Linked DNA regions of Drosophila melanogaster. The protein of the gene in region 1 interacts with the protein of each later gene in a pairwise test. Each region holds a gene or a part of one and is shown on either strand. Other genes may lie near its edges. The genes, in order: CG9300 and CG9624.

Evidence for each region.
Region 2: the proteins of CG9300 (region 1) and CG9624 interact in a two-hybrid assay, tested with the Drosophila melanogaster proteins (one large-scale study listed by BioGRID).

Annotation. Positions count from the first base shown.
Region 1 is NT_037436.4:19,548,028-19,557,497, forward strand, and holds CG9300 (uncharacterized protein), read left to right. Parts: upstream 1-4,392; 5' UTR 4,393-4,448; coding exon 4,449-4,580; intron 4,581-4,638; coding exon 4,639-4,803; intron 4,804-4,857; coding exon 4,858-5,221; intron 5,222-5,301; coding exon 5,302-6,662; 3' UTR 6,663-6,740; downstream 6,741-9,470. Other genes in the region: Ltn1 (listerin E3 ubiquitin protein ligase 1), read right to left, coding at 1-47, 105-288, 350-582, 637-1,944, 2,003-3,044, 3,101-3,280, 3,338-4,131, 4,193-4,240.
Region 2 is NT_033777.3:14,224,534-14,232,497, forward strand, and holds CG9624 (uncharacterized protein), read right to left. Parts: upstream 4,613-7,964; 5' UTR 4,537-4,612; coding exon 3,667-4,536; 3' UTR 3,485-3,666; downstream 1-3,484. Other genes in the region: CG9631 (uncharacterized protein), read right to left, coding at 648-1,588, 1,732-1,903, 1,977-2,183.

The DNA.
Region 1 (9,470 bases):
ATAAGGGCGGCAAACAATTCGTAAACAGCCACAATAAAAAGCGAAGTCTTCAATTAAAGATAATTTATTATTAATTATGAAAGAAATTTATTTATAAAGCCTACCTTTGGGTCTTGGTATTGTGCTATAGATTTTGAAACAGAAAGCACCCAAGAACTAAGGCCAATGCGAATAGCGTCCCAGTTCTTTATACTCAATTCGTATGGAAAACGTTTTAAAACTTCAGTTAAAAGCTTTATGAACTCCACTGTATTTATAACTGATTCGTAGGGTTGCCTTTGAATTTCTCTGAAAAATACAAACTTGGGTTTTGAATCATATACATTTTATGAAAATTATATTGTCTTACACATTATAATGGAGTAAATCCTTCTGGCTGGCTTGCCTTTCCCCTATGCTGGTCATAAACTGTACGGCTGATACAATTATATTGCGATCCGTTTGCTCATTCACATCGCCTTCAAAATTGTTTAATAGTAGAGCATGAAACACTGCTGCCTTAACCCAAATTTCAGGCGGTTCTGTTCCCATAATCGCAGAACTAAGAGTGATCGCTTTTTGAGAAAGCTTCGGTAAGAGAAACTGTAAGACACAAGGCATTATTAAGTGTTCCTGGATTTCTTTTAGAATTCCTACCTGTAGAGCTATTACATAGGTCTTGAGCGCTCCCTGCGTCACTAGATTTTCTGACAGATCTTCATGTAGCAAAATGGAGGCACTCTCTTCGAAAGCCGCATACTGTGGGCAAAATCTAAGGTAACTTAAAAGACGACAGTCAATTACGCTGGACTGCTGCACAGCCGCTTGCTGAAGACGCTCCTTTACTATTGCAACCAGATCGCTGCTGTTGCCCATAAAGCTTTGCACTTTCTCCGAAAGGATCAACACTAACTCCTCTGTCGACGATTGCAAGACTGACATTTCCAGCCAGCATTCTGCTGTTCCAGCCACTCGAATGCACTGTAAAAGCTCTGCAATTAAGGGTTCGTTCCATTTTTTGAGCACATCAGCATTTGGATCACAATAGTCCTCGGTCAACTCATCCTCTGGGTCGTTGGTGTCTTGAGGTGGTGGGAATTGATAGACGAGCTTGTAGATTGTAGAAAAGTTGAGTGTGGAACGTTGAAGCAATGGTAGTATTTCATTTCTTGAGAGGCAAGCATTTTCGAACGGAACTCCCGCAGTCACAGATCCGTGCAAGGCTTCTAGGAGTACACAATGGTTCTCAAACTGTTGAACCTTGTCAGTCGTTTTTAGGGGCGTTTCCAGAAGAGCAGTTAATGTTTCATCGATTCGCTCCAAGCGCTTATACTCATCTTCAATATTTTCCGTTGAGCAAATAACAAACTTGGCCATCGCCTCTGCCATTCCATCCAAAGTATCCGCTTTAAGTTCTGCTGAATTTGCCAATTCCTCAACAATCCCTGCGCAACACTTTAGCATGTCATCATCGATTTCGATATCTTTGCTAGAAAGTCCATCCTGCCAGCAAGTGGTAATTTCCCACAGAGTATCCTCCGACAGATAATCCTCTGGTCGGTGCTCCAAACTAAATTTGAACAGTTTGAGGAAGATGTGTTGGCGCACGTGCAGCGAAGAGTTATTGTTGCTGCAAATCACAGGCATTATCTGGGCAATAAAACTGCCACACACTTCCACCGCGTCATCGACAACCGGTTGCTCCAAGGGTCCGCACATGGACAGCAGTATTTTATCCACAGTTTTAGCATTAATGAGTATGTCTCCCGTGTCAGTTTGGAAAAAACACTTGTGAAGCAAGTTCAGCTTCTCCCGATCATTGTCTACAACAACCTCCTCAGCTATCCGCGCAATCATTTCACAAGTTTCCGGACCACTTAGCATTTGCCTCACGGCGGCCTCGGCGCATAGGGGATATGATAGTAGACGATGCAGCAAAAGATTTTGCACGCCATGTTGTGGAAGCTGTAAAGAATAATAATAATTTAATATTTTTTTTATACACTTTAAAATTGGTAACTACCTTCATGAGAGTGTTTTCAATATATTCAAAGCGTTTTCCAGTCTCTAGCAGCGGCAGGATTTCAAACACGATCTCCACCACAGATTCACAGGCCTGACAACTTAGTTGACCTAGCAGTGACACAAATTTATTTAACGCCGACGCAAGGTCTCCATCATCAGTTAAACTTTTGTAGAACGCGGCATCGTTAAACATTTTTGTAAGCGTTCGAATTTGTTCGATGTAACGCGAGCTCGAAGTACCACTCCCACTGCCTTTGTTGGCCTTATCCAGGCATATGCGCACTAACTTTATAACCAACTGCTTCAATTCCTTTTGTATAAAAGCAGCAGCTTCTTGAGCCTTTTTAACTGGTGTTGTGGGTTCGCTCTTCTCGATCTTTTCGTTTGGCCCCTCGACAAACTTCACACTCGGCGACTCCAGGCTAGGATTAGCCATATGCAGATCCTGCACTAAAAGCAAGACATGTCCGAGCAGTTGCTCATTCACCTCCTCGGCCGATAGGTCTTGTGTGACCAGCTCAAAGATGCGTATCCAGAACTTGTTCAGCAATTTGGCATAAAGGTCACCATTATCCAATCTATTATTAATCTGACGATCCCAGAAGGCCACCAGGGCTGAACTGTGCTGGAAGAAAATTTTTACATGCGTGCTATCGCTTTTGAGCAGCCAGGCAATGGGTTCAAGTACGTTGTTATCGAGTAGGCTAAAGGAAAATTCCTCCTCCTTCTGCTCTCGCTGTTTGTTGTTGTTAATCTGCTGCATCAAGAAGCGTAGGCACTCAAAATATGCATTATGTATCACAATACAATCGGATTTGGAAAGCGGAGGATCGAATTTCTTAGTGACTGCCAGCTTCATGTCGTCAAAGAAGCGCTGATAGAAATCGTAGATATCCAGGTCTTGAAGGGATGCTTGTGTAACTTTCGACAAAAATGGCAGCAGATTGGGACAGATGGCCTGGGCGTTGCGATTGAAACCATTTTGGAGCAAAGACGAAAGTTTGGGGAGAAGTGTCTTGCGAATGTTCAGTGGAACGAACCTACAAATATTAAACTTTATTATTGGAATTCACTTATAGTAGATCCTAGGTCTTACCAATCTACGTAGTTACTTTGTAGGAGCAGAACGCACCCCCAAATGTGGGGAGCCACCACGGGATCTGCATCGTCAATAAACTGAAAGCAGAGGTTAGTCAGCTGCGTCTTCTGAGGCGTGATCACATCCAAAAGTGCAACCGATTGCAGGATGTGATATATGCACTCGAACCAGGCGGCTCTATAAAATGTGAAACAGAAATTAAATACATGGTAAATGACTTGTCTGTTTACTTACTTAATGGCAGGCACTTTATGCTTGGCGAAGCTCCAGAACTTCTGGTGTGCCACCAGGGTGCCGAAGCCCTCCTTGACCTGGCTGAGCTCCTCCGTCTGCGCAGTTTGCCCCATGAAAAAGGACAACAGCTTGAGACTACTGATGATAACGCGCTGGTACTTCTGTTCCGCATCCTCCGGAGTGAGACTTTTCCCAATCGACAGAGTAGCGGCTGTGTGGAAGGTCAGGTTACGTGTGGCGTACTCGAGAATCTCCACCTGACAGTGCATGCAGACTTCCCGAGATCGGTTGGCGTTGCCAGCAAAGGTGTCTCGAAAGGATTGGCTCGCAATACTGGCCGCCGGAGCGTAGGTATCAAATCGGCTGCCCAGCCAAACGGGCACAAGTAACTTTAGATATGGAGCCATCGCCTTTTTACACTTGGCCATGAGCAACTGCAGCACAGTCTGTGTCTGTTCGCGAACAGTGTGCTCCGGATCGCTAGCCAGATTGAGGTAGTACTTGGGCCACAGAGGCAGAATGTTCTTGAGGACCTCCACGTCAGACTGCTCGATCAGTTCGTGTAGCTCCTGCAGCGCCTTCTTCTTCGTCATTGGATCCTTTTTGGACAGCTTTCGAAGGATGATCTGCGTTTGCGGACTGATGGCCGCATCAAAGCTGTCCGGCATTTGTTCGGCGCTGGCGAATCCCGGAGCAAATGGCACCAGGCCACCGCCGTCCGTCTGCGCCGAGAATCCCACGAATATGGGCGTGGAACTGCCCAGCAGCTCGGCTGTTCGGCTGCTGCTCGAGGGCTGGATGATGGGGGGTCGAGGGCACGGTTAAATAACATATTAATACCTTACTACGCCTTACCTTGGCATTATTTTTGGTGCGCGGCGCTTGTTTTGTCTTTCCACCCATTTCTCTCTTCTTCTTCTGTCTCTTCCTCTTATCGATAGCACGTGGCAGGTCCGGCAACCATTTGTGTTCGTATTTCGCAGAGGTCTGGCAGCCTTACTGTCGGTATTTTAAATACCAAAACACTGATTTCAATGGCACGAATCGCCCTGTGGTTTAGTTTTGGATGCCGCTTTGCACGTGCTGCAATTGTTTTCAATTCAATTAAATAATGTCCAAATTCCTGTCCTACTACAACCTGTTTCCCATCCCCGACCCCAAGGAGTTTCTGGGCCTAGCTGCAGACAGGGAAAATGGCAATGTGGTGACTACGTTGGCGCGCAACGTGGTGGTTGTTTTGAACGTGCGTTTGGACACCAAAATATCAAAATGCCCATGTAACAAACGCGATTTCCTTATAGATCAGCACACAAAAGCAGTTGCTCAGTTGGTCCCTGCCGGAGAAGCTTTCCTCCAAGGTTATATACGATCCCAGCAGCCAGAAGTATGTGGGCGTCTTTGGAAATCACGCGCTGCGTCTTTGGGATGTGGACACCAGTGATGTGTCCAAGTGCAAGAAGCTGAAGGTATGGGCAGCTAAAATTCAGCATATAATTGTGGATAATACGCTTTCCTTACAGTTTCAGAAAAGCATCGCTCACGTGGTGGCAACCGAACAGGAGGCATTAATCCTCTACAGCGATGGCGAGTGCCAAACCCTTTCCCAGGCATTGGCTTCGAGAAAGGACCAGAAGGAGGATACGGCTGAGCAACTGGCCCTAGCCGCCAGCAAGGTCATCAGCAAGCCCACAGTCCACGCATTGGCCCAGGGCCAGCAGGTGCTCACATATTTCGAGGAAACAAAGGCCACCGGCGAAATGCAGCTTATCCGCCTCTCCCTGGACACGGCTGACCGGCGGAAGTACCTCATTAAGCGGGAAGAGGTTCGCCTCACGGGATATGCTGTCGTCGAGGGCGATGCAGATCCTCAGTTGCTGACCATTTGTAAGTAACTTTAGTTATATCAGTGTGAGGAATGAGTTTTGATGTAAGAACGAAAACTATAAATTTATTTAATTTTACAGGGTCTGATAAACGCATCTTCATGCTTAACCTGGCGGAGGCCACATCAGAGCGATCCCCTGGACAATTCGTATCTATGCTGGCCGAGCTGAATGTGGAGAGCAAGCTATCCGTGCACGGAGTCTCACGAAACTTTGCTGCCATCTACGGCGCCAACTATGGGCAGGAAGGCGCCTCTCTGTTGGTTTATAACACTCAGTTTAAGGTGGTGAACGCGAAGCAGTACTTTAAAGTGTACCTGGACTTCTCTCGCCTTTGGGCCGGGAATGAGCACATCCTTTTGGCCATGGGGCATAATATAGCGGCGGTCCGTTACCGAATGAACCGGGAGGTGCTGGTGGACATGTTGGGCTCTCAGTTTAGTGATACTCACCTCTCGCCTATTGAATTGGATCACATAAACGAGGAGGAGTATCTGGAGTCGCTTATTAAGTTTGATGGTAGTACGAAACCCTTAAATTATAGAGCTGTGAAATCCCAGTTAAATAAGCAGATGCCCAACTTGGACTACCAAAAAGCTGATGGCCGGGAGTTGGCTTACGATCCTCCCGAGGTAGTGGATCAAGAGATCGACGAAATTATCAAACAGCATGTTCATGGAGAGGCGACCATTTGCGAGAATGGGCTGGAGGACGTGAGTGTCACTCTAATGACGAACTTCTTTGACAAGGGGCCGAATAATACAGCTGTGCAGGCTTTAGTCCGGCAGCTGGAGAGAAGTGGAGCTGGGGAAGAGGAAATCATCGAAAGGATTCTCACACTTTTCATCAAGACCGACAACACAGAGCATGTCCTGATGTGTCTTAGGCGCTACAGCAACATATCGGAGAGAATGCTGGCCTGGTCACTGCGCTATGCTCTAGATAAATGCAAGCCTCGTCATGCTATTAATGGCGATTCCAACGCTGTACCAACGGCTAAGAGTTACTCCAACAAGGAACTGCTAAATGCAGTGCTAGCCTGCAGATTTGATGCCACCGGCATCGAGGAGCATCTGCGTTACCGACTGGAGCTCTCCCATGTCCAGCACTTGATGAGCCACCTGTTCGATCTGGTCAATGACCCCAATGTCCAGTTGGAGGAACGACCCAGCCTGAATTGCTCGCCAATTCAAACGGAAGTACAGGCCATCCAGTGGTTTGGCTGCATCTTGACCTCCCATTTCACCCTGCTGATTATTTCCAAGGACGAGGCATTGCTCGAGACTCTCTCCGAATGGGCCACTTTCCTCTCCTTCTACGAAGAAAGTTTATTCGATTTAGCCAATTTGCTGCCGCTGCTCACAAATATTGTGGAGAAACGTCAGGTGAAACCGATGTACTCTACAAATTGGTATGGGATTGAGGAGGTGGTGCTCTACTAGAAAAATAATAAAGGTCTTTAGTGTTTCCTTAAGTTTGTTTTTTACTGAATAAGCCAAATAAACCTAGAATTAACTTTTATTTATATTGATTGTATTCAATCTTATTCATGATAGGTGTTACTATTATCTTTTACACAATAGTATTGTGTGATTTATTAGTCAGAAGATGGCAATGAGCTTTTCATGGAATCCATATACGGCGAAACAAATTAAAGTTTTGTTTGCACAAAATCTTTAAATTCGGGATTTCTACCTTTTGTAAAACGTACACATATCACTCAGTTTTTTCTTATTGAAGTTCAGATTTATTTGGTAATGATCGGACGGATGGCCGAATTAACACAGCTTCATGTTTACCATGAAAGTTGCCGACTCTATAAAGTATATTTATTCTTGATCGGAATTACCAGTCGATGTCCGTCCCGTCTAGAAAGTTAAGGTGAAGAATGTAGATTTTAGTACTGTCAATCCCACAGAACGCCCAAACCTACCAAAGCGACCACACTTGAAAAAAAATATTTGAAATTATGCAATATTTTTTATTGTTTGTTTGTTGGTCACGCTAACAAACAGCAACTGCAAGTTGTCACTCTCAATTCCTAAAAATCATTTGATATTTTTCTTTTATTATTTTTTACCAATATATAAATAGGTAAAGTTATATCAAGAGAACTTTTAAAATTCTCCCTGCCCACTATATGTGTGTTTATATGTATACCTTAGGCCATATGTTTTTTTTTTTTTATTTTCTTATGTACGAATCCAGTTCTAAGGCCGATATTATTTTAACCTTAATAGTTCAAGTTTAATAAAATTTGAACAATAAGACAAACGAACAATTTTCATATGAAAATATAGTTAAAAAGAATGCACTGAATGTTTCGAGACATTTAGTTTGGCACAAACATTTTGCAAATGCGTACAGGATGAAAATTTTCAGTAAACAAAACAGCTTCTAAATCGAGTGACAGTTGAGTAAGATTTAGTGACTAGATGAAATGTCTTCAACGTTTCGCAGAGTATACCTATATATATACAACTTTAAGCCACATCCAAATGACCACAAAGTATCTTGGCCATTATCAAAACTGTACCAGCTGCCTGGTAAAATTAAGCCGAAAACTTTTCCATCAATCGCAGACGATCCGAGCACAAGCGACCAGAGAGACAAGTCAATTCATTTCCCCTAACAAAAAATCAGTACACCTTTAAAAACTCATATACAAATACATTAGCTTTTTAAATATTTTGATATCGTTTCGAATTAGTTATTTCTATCATTAATTAATAATTTTGCCTTCCTTCCTTTAGCTGTGTAATGAGTATCTGAAAGCCGAGTAGCTTGTAACTGAAAATAGGATGCGTATAATGAGCGTTAGAATCAGTTAATGCAAATTACAAACTTCTTGCTTATAAGCATATATCTTATTATATAAAAGCATAGTTTTACTCAAAGAGTCACCGATTTTTTTCCGTGTTTAAGCCAAGGTCCAGCAACAACCCACTTGGTCCAAGTCCACTGCTTCCTTACCACTTTCTCTGCACCTTTCTTTCGAATCAATCTCGACCCGAATGAGCCACTTGAGAGCGATGACCAGCCAAAAAGCGGCAAAATAATGAGCAAGTCGAGTTGGGGTTTTACAAAAATAGCCCCCCTCCTCGGTTGATTCACTGGCCGTCTTTGATTACGACGAGGGTCAGGGACCACTGGCAGCATCGTTCTTTTTGTGGCACTAGAACTGTGGCTATTCAAATCACCGGCAAGCCGAAGTCATCGCAATGGATGTGGGCTTTTGTTCTGGCAGCATTTCTCCTGATTGTAAGCCGGAGATTTATCGCGTGCTGGATGGGAACGGGGGGCATCAAAACCTGCTTGTAACGTCATAAAATCGAGATAAATTATTTAATTTTCGATTTCCTAAAACCATTAAGCAATGGCAGAAGAGCCCGACGCCTAGCTACCCCATAACCAAGAGCAAGATGCCGAGTCATACCAGGAGAGACAATCACAATCTGCTGGCCCTTATATAAAGTGTGTATATGTATATGTACACATATAGACGTGTATACCTGAACATAATGATGGTTCGCTGCCGATGCTGCGCTGCCTCCGCTGACCGCTGGCTGCTGCATCCACTGCAGAGACGAAGGATGTGGATAGGGCATAGGCACACATGCATACGCCTACCTGGACACAGGTAGCTCGGCCTCCGCAGGTAAGCAAGTCTTTGGCCCGGCAAACACTGCCGCAGATATGTATGTGCGTCCATACAGATTCCTCTGCTCGTTACTTGTTGCAAACAAGCGCTGAGGACTGAGGAGGGGGGACAGCACCACAGACTCAACCGGCTGCCCCTGCCCCATGCTGGGCACCACCGGCAACATTTAGCAGCGTCATGATCATCAGGGCCCAGGCACTGGGCACTAGGGACTCATGACCAAAGCCAGCCGGACTGGTTAGGGATTTGGCCCGAGATTGGTTTGGCGCTGCAGAGGAAAGATGCAACATCGGTCAGCTTCAGGGCTGCAGCATCATGGTATAAAAAGGAGACTAGTTATCAATTCGGGATATATGTTTCGCTGCTTTTGTTTGTTAATACAAATTAAAATAAAATATATCTTAAAAATATTGCTGTTAAAATATTTTATTAAAGTTTTCACGTACAACAAAAGTCGGTAATTTATTTAATAACCTAAATACTTGCAAAGTAATTTATTTAGCGTTGCTATTCTCTGAACATATATCTTGAACCTGATAAAAAATAATCCTAAAAAAAATAAAATAATAATAAAAGTATTTTTGAGCTA
Region 2 (7,964 bases), on another chromosome or scaffold:
TTTTGAGCGAAAATCCCCTCTCTAGTAATCTTTGACTAATTCGTATAAACAAAACAAGAGCTTCAATACAAAGAGTTTACAAATTATCATCAATTTAATTTTAAGCTTATGATCATAGATCGAATTACTATTCTCAACATGGATGGGCTAACACTGATCGAATGTGTTAATTGATAAGGTGCTAATACGACTAAAGAAATTAAAAATTACATTTATCTTTACTGATAAGCTAGTGAGTCAAAACCCTGCTGTTGCTCACAACTGATTTTCTTGCTCTTGAGTCAAAAGTATTATTAACAAGAGATCTGACATACAGCCTTATTTGTTTATAGTTCTTATTATTATTACTCTCTGATGAGCTCTCACTTGTTTAAATCGAATTCCAAAAGCACTAATAATCTATTCCTCTCTTTAGAAAATTTGTAATCAATGATTGCAAACATCTGCACTTTAAGTCATAGGCTTAAAGCAAGGGTTTTATTTTAGCGCAAAGTATACACTTAATAGATTGTTGGCACCAATGCATGCTTGGGAAATCCACCGACTAGGAAAAGGTAATCTATTATACGACTTAAAGATTTATTGAGAATTTTGTACATAAATTTCCGTGTTTTCCTGTATTGTCACATTATAATTATTTCAGCGCCTCACATGACCATATTTTGACGTACCCAGTCAATGTGCCGTGCAACATCGCAATAGATAACATACTTGCTAAGGTCGCAAATCTCTCCGTGGCGAGGCGATAAAGAGACCACACCACGAACGTACCATCGATTGTTACGCAGGACGATCAGAGCAGATCCCGAGTCTCCGAAGCAGGGACCATGTGATTCTGAATTGCCGGCACAGACGGTCCGCCGCGTGATGAAGTCCTCCGCCCGCTTCATCTCCTTGAGACACTGATCCCGGGGCACCAATCGAACACTCACTGTCTTGGGAAACCGCGTCTTCTGGGCACTCCTGTCGTAGCCCCAACCGGCTACTGCTCCAGTATCGCCCTCATTCGGTGGCAATCCCATATTGGAGCCCCAAAGGCAGAGGGGTCGAATGTACTTGGTGTACACCATCGGAGAGGTCAGCACCAGCAGACCAACGTCCGCATCCGGAACTGGATTGCCCTCGTAGGCGGACGGAGTCAGCACGCTGGTCACGCTAACCAGGGAGGCTCCATTCTCAGGATTCTCGTTGCGATCATGCCTGCCCAAATAGACCCAAAGCTGGCTGGCGCTCTTTCCATAAATGCAGTGAGCTGCCGTGATCACAGTCCGTTTGGAGATAACCGACACCACGCATTTGTATGTAGCCGTGCCAACACCTTCGTAAAGGGCCGCGAGCCAGGGGTACTGACCGCGGGTCACCAGGTCGCCTCCGATTTGAAGAGGCGAAAAGCCCTCAACGCCGCATTCCTCAAAGTCCGAATCTATTCTGGGCATGATTGAAGGAAGGAAAGGATTGGGGTCATTGCTCGGTGTGCTCGGCGGCGGACGCCGCTGACGCACTATTTCTCTTGGTGCTGACTTTTGACTAATTGGCGTTGAGGTGGACATGGACTGGCGTCGGGTCATTGTGCTTGAAGGGGCATCATCTGCACAAAGTAAAAAGAAAGATATGAGAAAATTATCATCAACTATATGAGATCATCTACTATATAGAATATCTTTAGGGTAACAATAATTATTTCAAAGTAATTTAACTAAAGATATTCTATCTAGTTTTATTATTACTCACACTCCTCATTTTGACACAGAACCTCGCCGTTGAATTCCGCCCGGACAAGTTTGGGCAGCTCGTTTCCAAAATCCGTGAAACGCACAAACACCTCGCCACGTTCTCCGCTGTGTATCTTTTCAAAGGCCCTTTCCTTATTGGGATACGGAATGAGTGAGCCCACAGTGTTTGCCTGCATGGGGGGATATCAGAATGTTGAATCAGTTGAAATAAACAAATATATATGTAATTTGTTAGGGCTTTACCTCACCAGTTCCGTGAGCAGTGAAAACCACCTCCCATGATAGGCTGTTCACACCAGCGCGTGGCGCCGTGAAGACGCCAATGTAGGCTCCACTGTCCTCTTTGTAGTAGGAGAAATACCTCTCACAATTATGCTGCGGCACGTGCAACGCCGACCCGAGTTTCAGATTGAGACAAAGGCCCAGCAAGGTCAGCCACAAGATTGTCATTGCGACGGTAACAACCAATGCTGAATGGAACTGAATGAGAACTGGGATCGAAATCGGAATCCACAAGCGACTATCGATGCACTCCCTCTCCATGTAACAGCTGATCTCTCGCCAGATTGCGGAGCACCCCCATTGAGTGATCACTGGTTATTCCCAGCCATATCAAGTCTTCGGCTTAGTACTATTTTTAATCATTCAACTAACTAACAGCTATTTAAGAACCTGGTTCTCCACGGAACTATTTAACAGAGGAGCTACTGTTGAGAGAAAAATCCCCATCTAAGTAAACATGTGACTTGTTTTACAAACCCACTGTATGTACTCGTATATATATGATATGCTCGTAGCTAACTGAAGAAATATTTTCTTCTCTTTTTCTGATCTTGCTCAATTTTTATAGCAAAAAACTGTTCAGTATCAATCGAGAACTGTTGTAAAACACAACTTTTTGTGGCTTAGTTTACGCCTGACAGCAATTTAAAATTTAAACAGCTAGCATTGGCTTTTAAAGCACAAGTACTCTTTAATTTATCTTATTTGTTTGGGCAATTTGTTTTTGATGCTATAAGAAACATTTACGAACTGATAAGAAAAGTATTACTTTTTAAATTTATTTTTCTATACTTCTACTGACTTTTTACATTTTCAAGATCTGTGGCGGCTCCTCTTAAAAATCGCGTAAGTTTTGCTCAAAGCTATTATCAGGCGTGGCAAGGTGGCTTATGTGAATTTCTATTGAAAATTATGTTTGTGGGTCGACGTTTATAGCGACAACGCATTTGGCCAAAAAAAACTTTTTCCAACAAAACAAAAAGGAAGCCCGTAGAGAATGAGGGGAAGTGCTCCTAACTTCACGATACCCGCAACTCAATTTTGCTGCATTGTGGCCGCCGGTCCCCCAATTTGCCCCAACTGCCTGCCGGCAACTTTTATAATCAGTTTCAAGTTTGTTAAGCTTTGTAATAATTTGTTGAGATTTGGTGCGAAATTTTTCGATTTCGTTTCTTTTTCGCAAACAAACTTGTTGTGAATTGTGCCGTGGGCTCAAGTCTGCCAACTTAGCGGAGGCACTTTGACAACACATCGGAAAATGGTGGTGCAGGCTTCCGCCTGCGTCAATAATCGGGTGGCAAGTGGCAGGTAGCGTGCGTCTGACTGCACTTGAAGGCAGCTCCAATTGGGCGGCCTAATTGAAGCGGTTCCTGTTCGGGCGCCACTTCAACATGATGGCTTGAACGGCCGGGCGGAGCAAATCAAGTCGTATCAAATTAGGCGACGTGAATAAGTATTAAACTGGGCTAAAACAGATGTTATGATGTTTAAATTCGATTTATTGCATGTAATATATATAATCTTGTGTAAACTTGAGATTTTTTTTACATTTTGAAATTTTTTTAAAAGCAATAAATAATTACTTGTCTATAGCAACTTCAGTTGGCATTTGCTAATAACTGCTGATGGAAATTAATTGAAAGAATTTGTTCTATGCCCGTCGGATTATCTTATAGGTATCGCAGGTGCAGATGCCACGAAAACGACTAAATACGAAGACAAATGGCTCTCCGCAGGACTTAAGGAGCTGATTTTTCTGTGCGTGCACAAAAGCTGTGCGAAGGGAGTATTGCACCTCATCGTGCCATGAGTTATCAGCCGATTCTTCCACCAAATACGTGTGGAAGACATTGAGCACCTGAAGCGATCGTTCCATGCGAGGTGTTCGAGGCAATGCCAGTAACTGAATATATGGACGAAACTTTATCCAGCGCTGGCAGTCCTTAATGTCCACATCAGTGCCCAGATCGATAATCATTAGCTTGCAGTCGTGATCATGAATGGCCCTCAAGATGTCCAGCTCCATGGGTCCCTTGAAGCACTTCTGCAGCTCCTCAGTGATGGTGAAGCCCAGTTCGTGACTGGGAGTTTGCATGGTCCAAGGATAGCGCCGATTGGCAAAGTCGTACGCCAACTTCTGGCGACGCTCCTGCTCCATCCTCAGTTTGTTTACCACCTCATCTATGGGTCTAATGTCCCGGGATCCATGGCGCAGAAAGTCCACCTGATTCGACGCCGTTCGCTCCTCCACCTCCTGGTTTAAGGCATTCTCAGCATCCTCGTTCTCGATCTCCTCCCTTTGGGCTCCTTTGCAGCAGCGCAGCTCATGTGGCGGCATGTAGAAAGGAAAGCCCACCTGGGACAGATAGATATGCCAATCCAGTCGATTGAAGGGCTGCCGGGGCACAAAGAATTCGTCCGGCTTGGTCTCGATGCGACAGACATTCTCGTCCAGGATCAATGGCCATAGCACGTCGAAGAAGGGGCTACCCAGCGTTCGTTTGACTTCGGAGGTATTCATTTTGGGTACTTGGAATTTCTATTCATGTAATTTGGCCTGGCTAGCAAATGTGTGTCTATGGCAGAATTTCCGTTGCCTCGCTATCAAATGCTTAATAGGGTGACACAAATCTGCTGGCATCTACATTAAAATACACCTAGAAATATTTGGATTTCTTAATTTCAGCCCAAAACTTAATATACATTATTTCAACAGATTTTTACGTATATTAACATGTTTACAGAGTCTTTAGTTTCGTAGCTTAAAATAAGAATTAAAATTTATAAAATGTATATATGCTTATTATCTTTTTTCAAAAAATTCGCAGCAGTGAAAGCACATCCCTTCCTATCAGCGAAATAAATCAGCTACTGGCACGCCCCCTAATAACAAAGCCCTCCCACATTTTTCTATAGCTAAACTTGTTTGTTTGCATTTGTTGCCAAATTTATGCGCACTCACAGGCAATAACGGTAAGTAAGTATTCTCATCGGGAATCGGCAACAACAATTTGCGTAAATTTTACGACATTCCATGCCGTATATTCACGGTAGCCGACGATCGCCATTATTTTATGAGCTGAAACAGTGAGGTGAAACAGGATTTTATGACGGAATGCAGGCGCAACAAGATGGCCGCGATTTTCATTATGCCCCAGTTCGAACATACATACATATATATTAGTTTAAGGAGGGCGTGGCAGATCCGAAGGGGAAATGGCTGTGACAACGGTGACGAGTTTTCGGGCTCATTAGCTTTTATGGCTTTGCTTTTATTGCTCGCGGCGTGGCAGCTTTAATTTCAAACACAAAGTGTTGCCTATCGCAGGGCGCTCGGGCGCCTGGTTTTTGGTCCTCCGCATGTGAGCAATAAATTTTCATAAATCAATTGTTCGTGCCACGTTGAACACAATCAGTGGGCTTACAAATCGAAGGCACCTAGCAAAAATCCAATCCACAAAAGGTTTGAATTTAGATTTATGTCGGTGCACCGAAAACCGAGTGACGAATGCCTATTTTACGCCTCGATGTTCAAACACTTATTGTTTTAATATTCAGCGCCAGTGCGAAATTTTGATTCGAACCCACGATTTTAATTTTACCACGATGATTTATCGCATCCGGTTAGCCTTAGTTGCCTTCTAATTTTCAAAATTTAATTTTGCTTTCGCTGGAAAATTTAAAGCCATAAGTGACCGGGAGCTAAAAACACCGTATTTGTTTTACTTTTTATTTCGTTTCATCTATCAAAACGCGACGACTTTTTCCAGCTCTCTGGCCACAAAAAAAAGTTGTCCTCTATATGCGGGATGTGTATAAAAATTTATGTGTATATTTATTGTGTTTTATTGGGGCACTTAAGCGTCAGACTGTAAGAGAAAACCGCGAGAGCAAAAACCGAAAGAAAAAGCGAAGTCAGCTGTATTAAAAAAAGTCAAGGAAAAAGCCATGCAAAAGAAAAACTGAAACAAGTAAGGACAACTGAGACGCTTATTGACATAAAAGCCAATCATTTTCAAATGGCTTTAAGCATTCGACAAATGGAAAAGCAGCCCCAACATCAAACGGAAAATATACACAAAACTCGAGCGTAAAACTGGAGTCATTTTTTTTATTATTTTTTTTTTTTTGGCTATGCATTTGAGTTGGCACACCGCAGAGAAAAGGCCACAGGAACTTCCAGTAGATGCACTTTGAACCCGTTCTGCGGTTTGAGGTTCTCTACATAAATAAAAGCCTTACAGAATTTTTTTGCCAGAAAAATAGATACGCGGAATTCAGCGTCTCAAAAGGGAATGCTTGAATATGAAGGCAAGTAAAGGGACTTTTTAAACTTGCCACCATCAGACTATTGAATATGAATTAAATTATCACTAGAGTGTGAAAAAAATATGATTGATGCAGTGCTGTTCATCCATCAATCATCGAAAAACACTGGTGCAATGTTCTCGTCGTTGATATCTTTTATGCAAGTTGTTAGCTATAGCAGCTCATAAGAAAACGAAATTGACTATTATTTTACAATTGGGAAAGTTTTAAAATTGTGAAAATATAATATGCGCAGAATTTCTTTTGTTTCGCAATCCTCCGTTTTGACAGCACCAATAAAAAAGAATATTTATTATTTAAAATCTGTTTTTTGTCAGGTGTTGATAAATATATATTTCAAAGTAGCAACTTAAATATTCAATTATTGTTATTTTGATCCGAAAATTGGGCAGCGGACTAAGAACATAAATTCGTACACATTTGCGTGGGTAGTTGGACATGTATGGAATGGTTCCTTGAACATTTTCCGAAAACACCCACATTCATATTGTGCGAGTGAAGTGAAAGTCGGACGACAGCTTCTTTATTTCAGTTCAAGGCCGGGTATTCATAAGCAAAACAAAACCTACGAACAAAGCGCTGGCTCAAGGCACCTCAAGAGATTCCCTCGGTCTGGGAACCTGGACTGGCTTACAAATGAGTCTGCCACCTCAAATAACAAAGCGAATGCGGCACGCACCACAACACCGAGAAAAAACTGTCCCATAAACAAGACCTTTCAACTTTCTAATCTAAAGAATATCTTACTATAACTAAAGAGAACATGATTTTCGTTTAAACTTGATTCCAAGAAACATTATTAAGATTGCATCATAAATATATGCTTATTAAATCATAAAAGGGCATCAAAGCCAATACATTTTTCGCAGTGTAGCAATAGCAGCAATAGATGGTTGGAGTGATGAATTTCTGGCCGGCCAGGCATTAATTCCATTTAATTATTATGACACCAGAGGGCAGCGCAAACAGACCGCAATAATAGTGGAGGCTGACAAAGCAATTGCAAACACCTTGGGTGCTGAGTGCTGCTTACCAGGTTTGTCCCAAATCCCCAGATGCTCTAATCTATTCTAATGGCTAGTGTCGTGCCCAGCGATTTGCGAATCAGCTGAGGGCACATTTGTCATACGCCATGTGGGCGCGTCGGCGTACGCGGCGAATGCGCAACGTGTGCAAAACGGTCACAAAGTTTGCCGCAACTTGGGCCAAGTTTTCCGGCTCAAGTCGAGCGGGAAAAGCGTCGAGCAGGACTAGTACAACATCGTTTTCACGCTTGCCCTGTCAAGTGAAACCAATTTGCGCATTTTGTCTGCATCGCAAGGCATTCCATCGGATCGTCTTATTCCTGGTCTTATTCCTCTTCTTGTTTTTGGCTGCAGACTGCCATGGAGTGGCAGTCGCCTTAAATTTTCCTCGTCCTGCACTTGACATTCAATTTTCCCTCGAAGCCACAGCCGTCTAATGAATGCAATTTCGAATTCGACCCAACTGCTGATTACGATTTCCCTTGGGTGCAGTCAAAGCTATCAGTTGGCTTGAGGATCCTCAAGACGCTTGGGGTGCGATGAAAGTGGGTCTCAATGGGTCCTGGAAACTCTGCACTTGACTAGAGGAATAGGC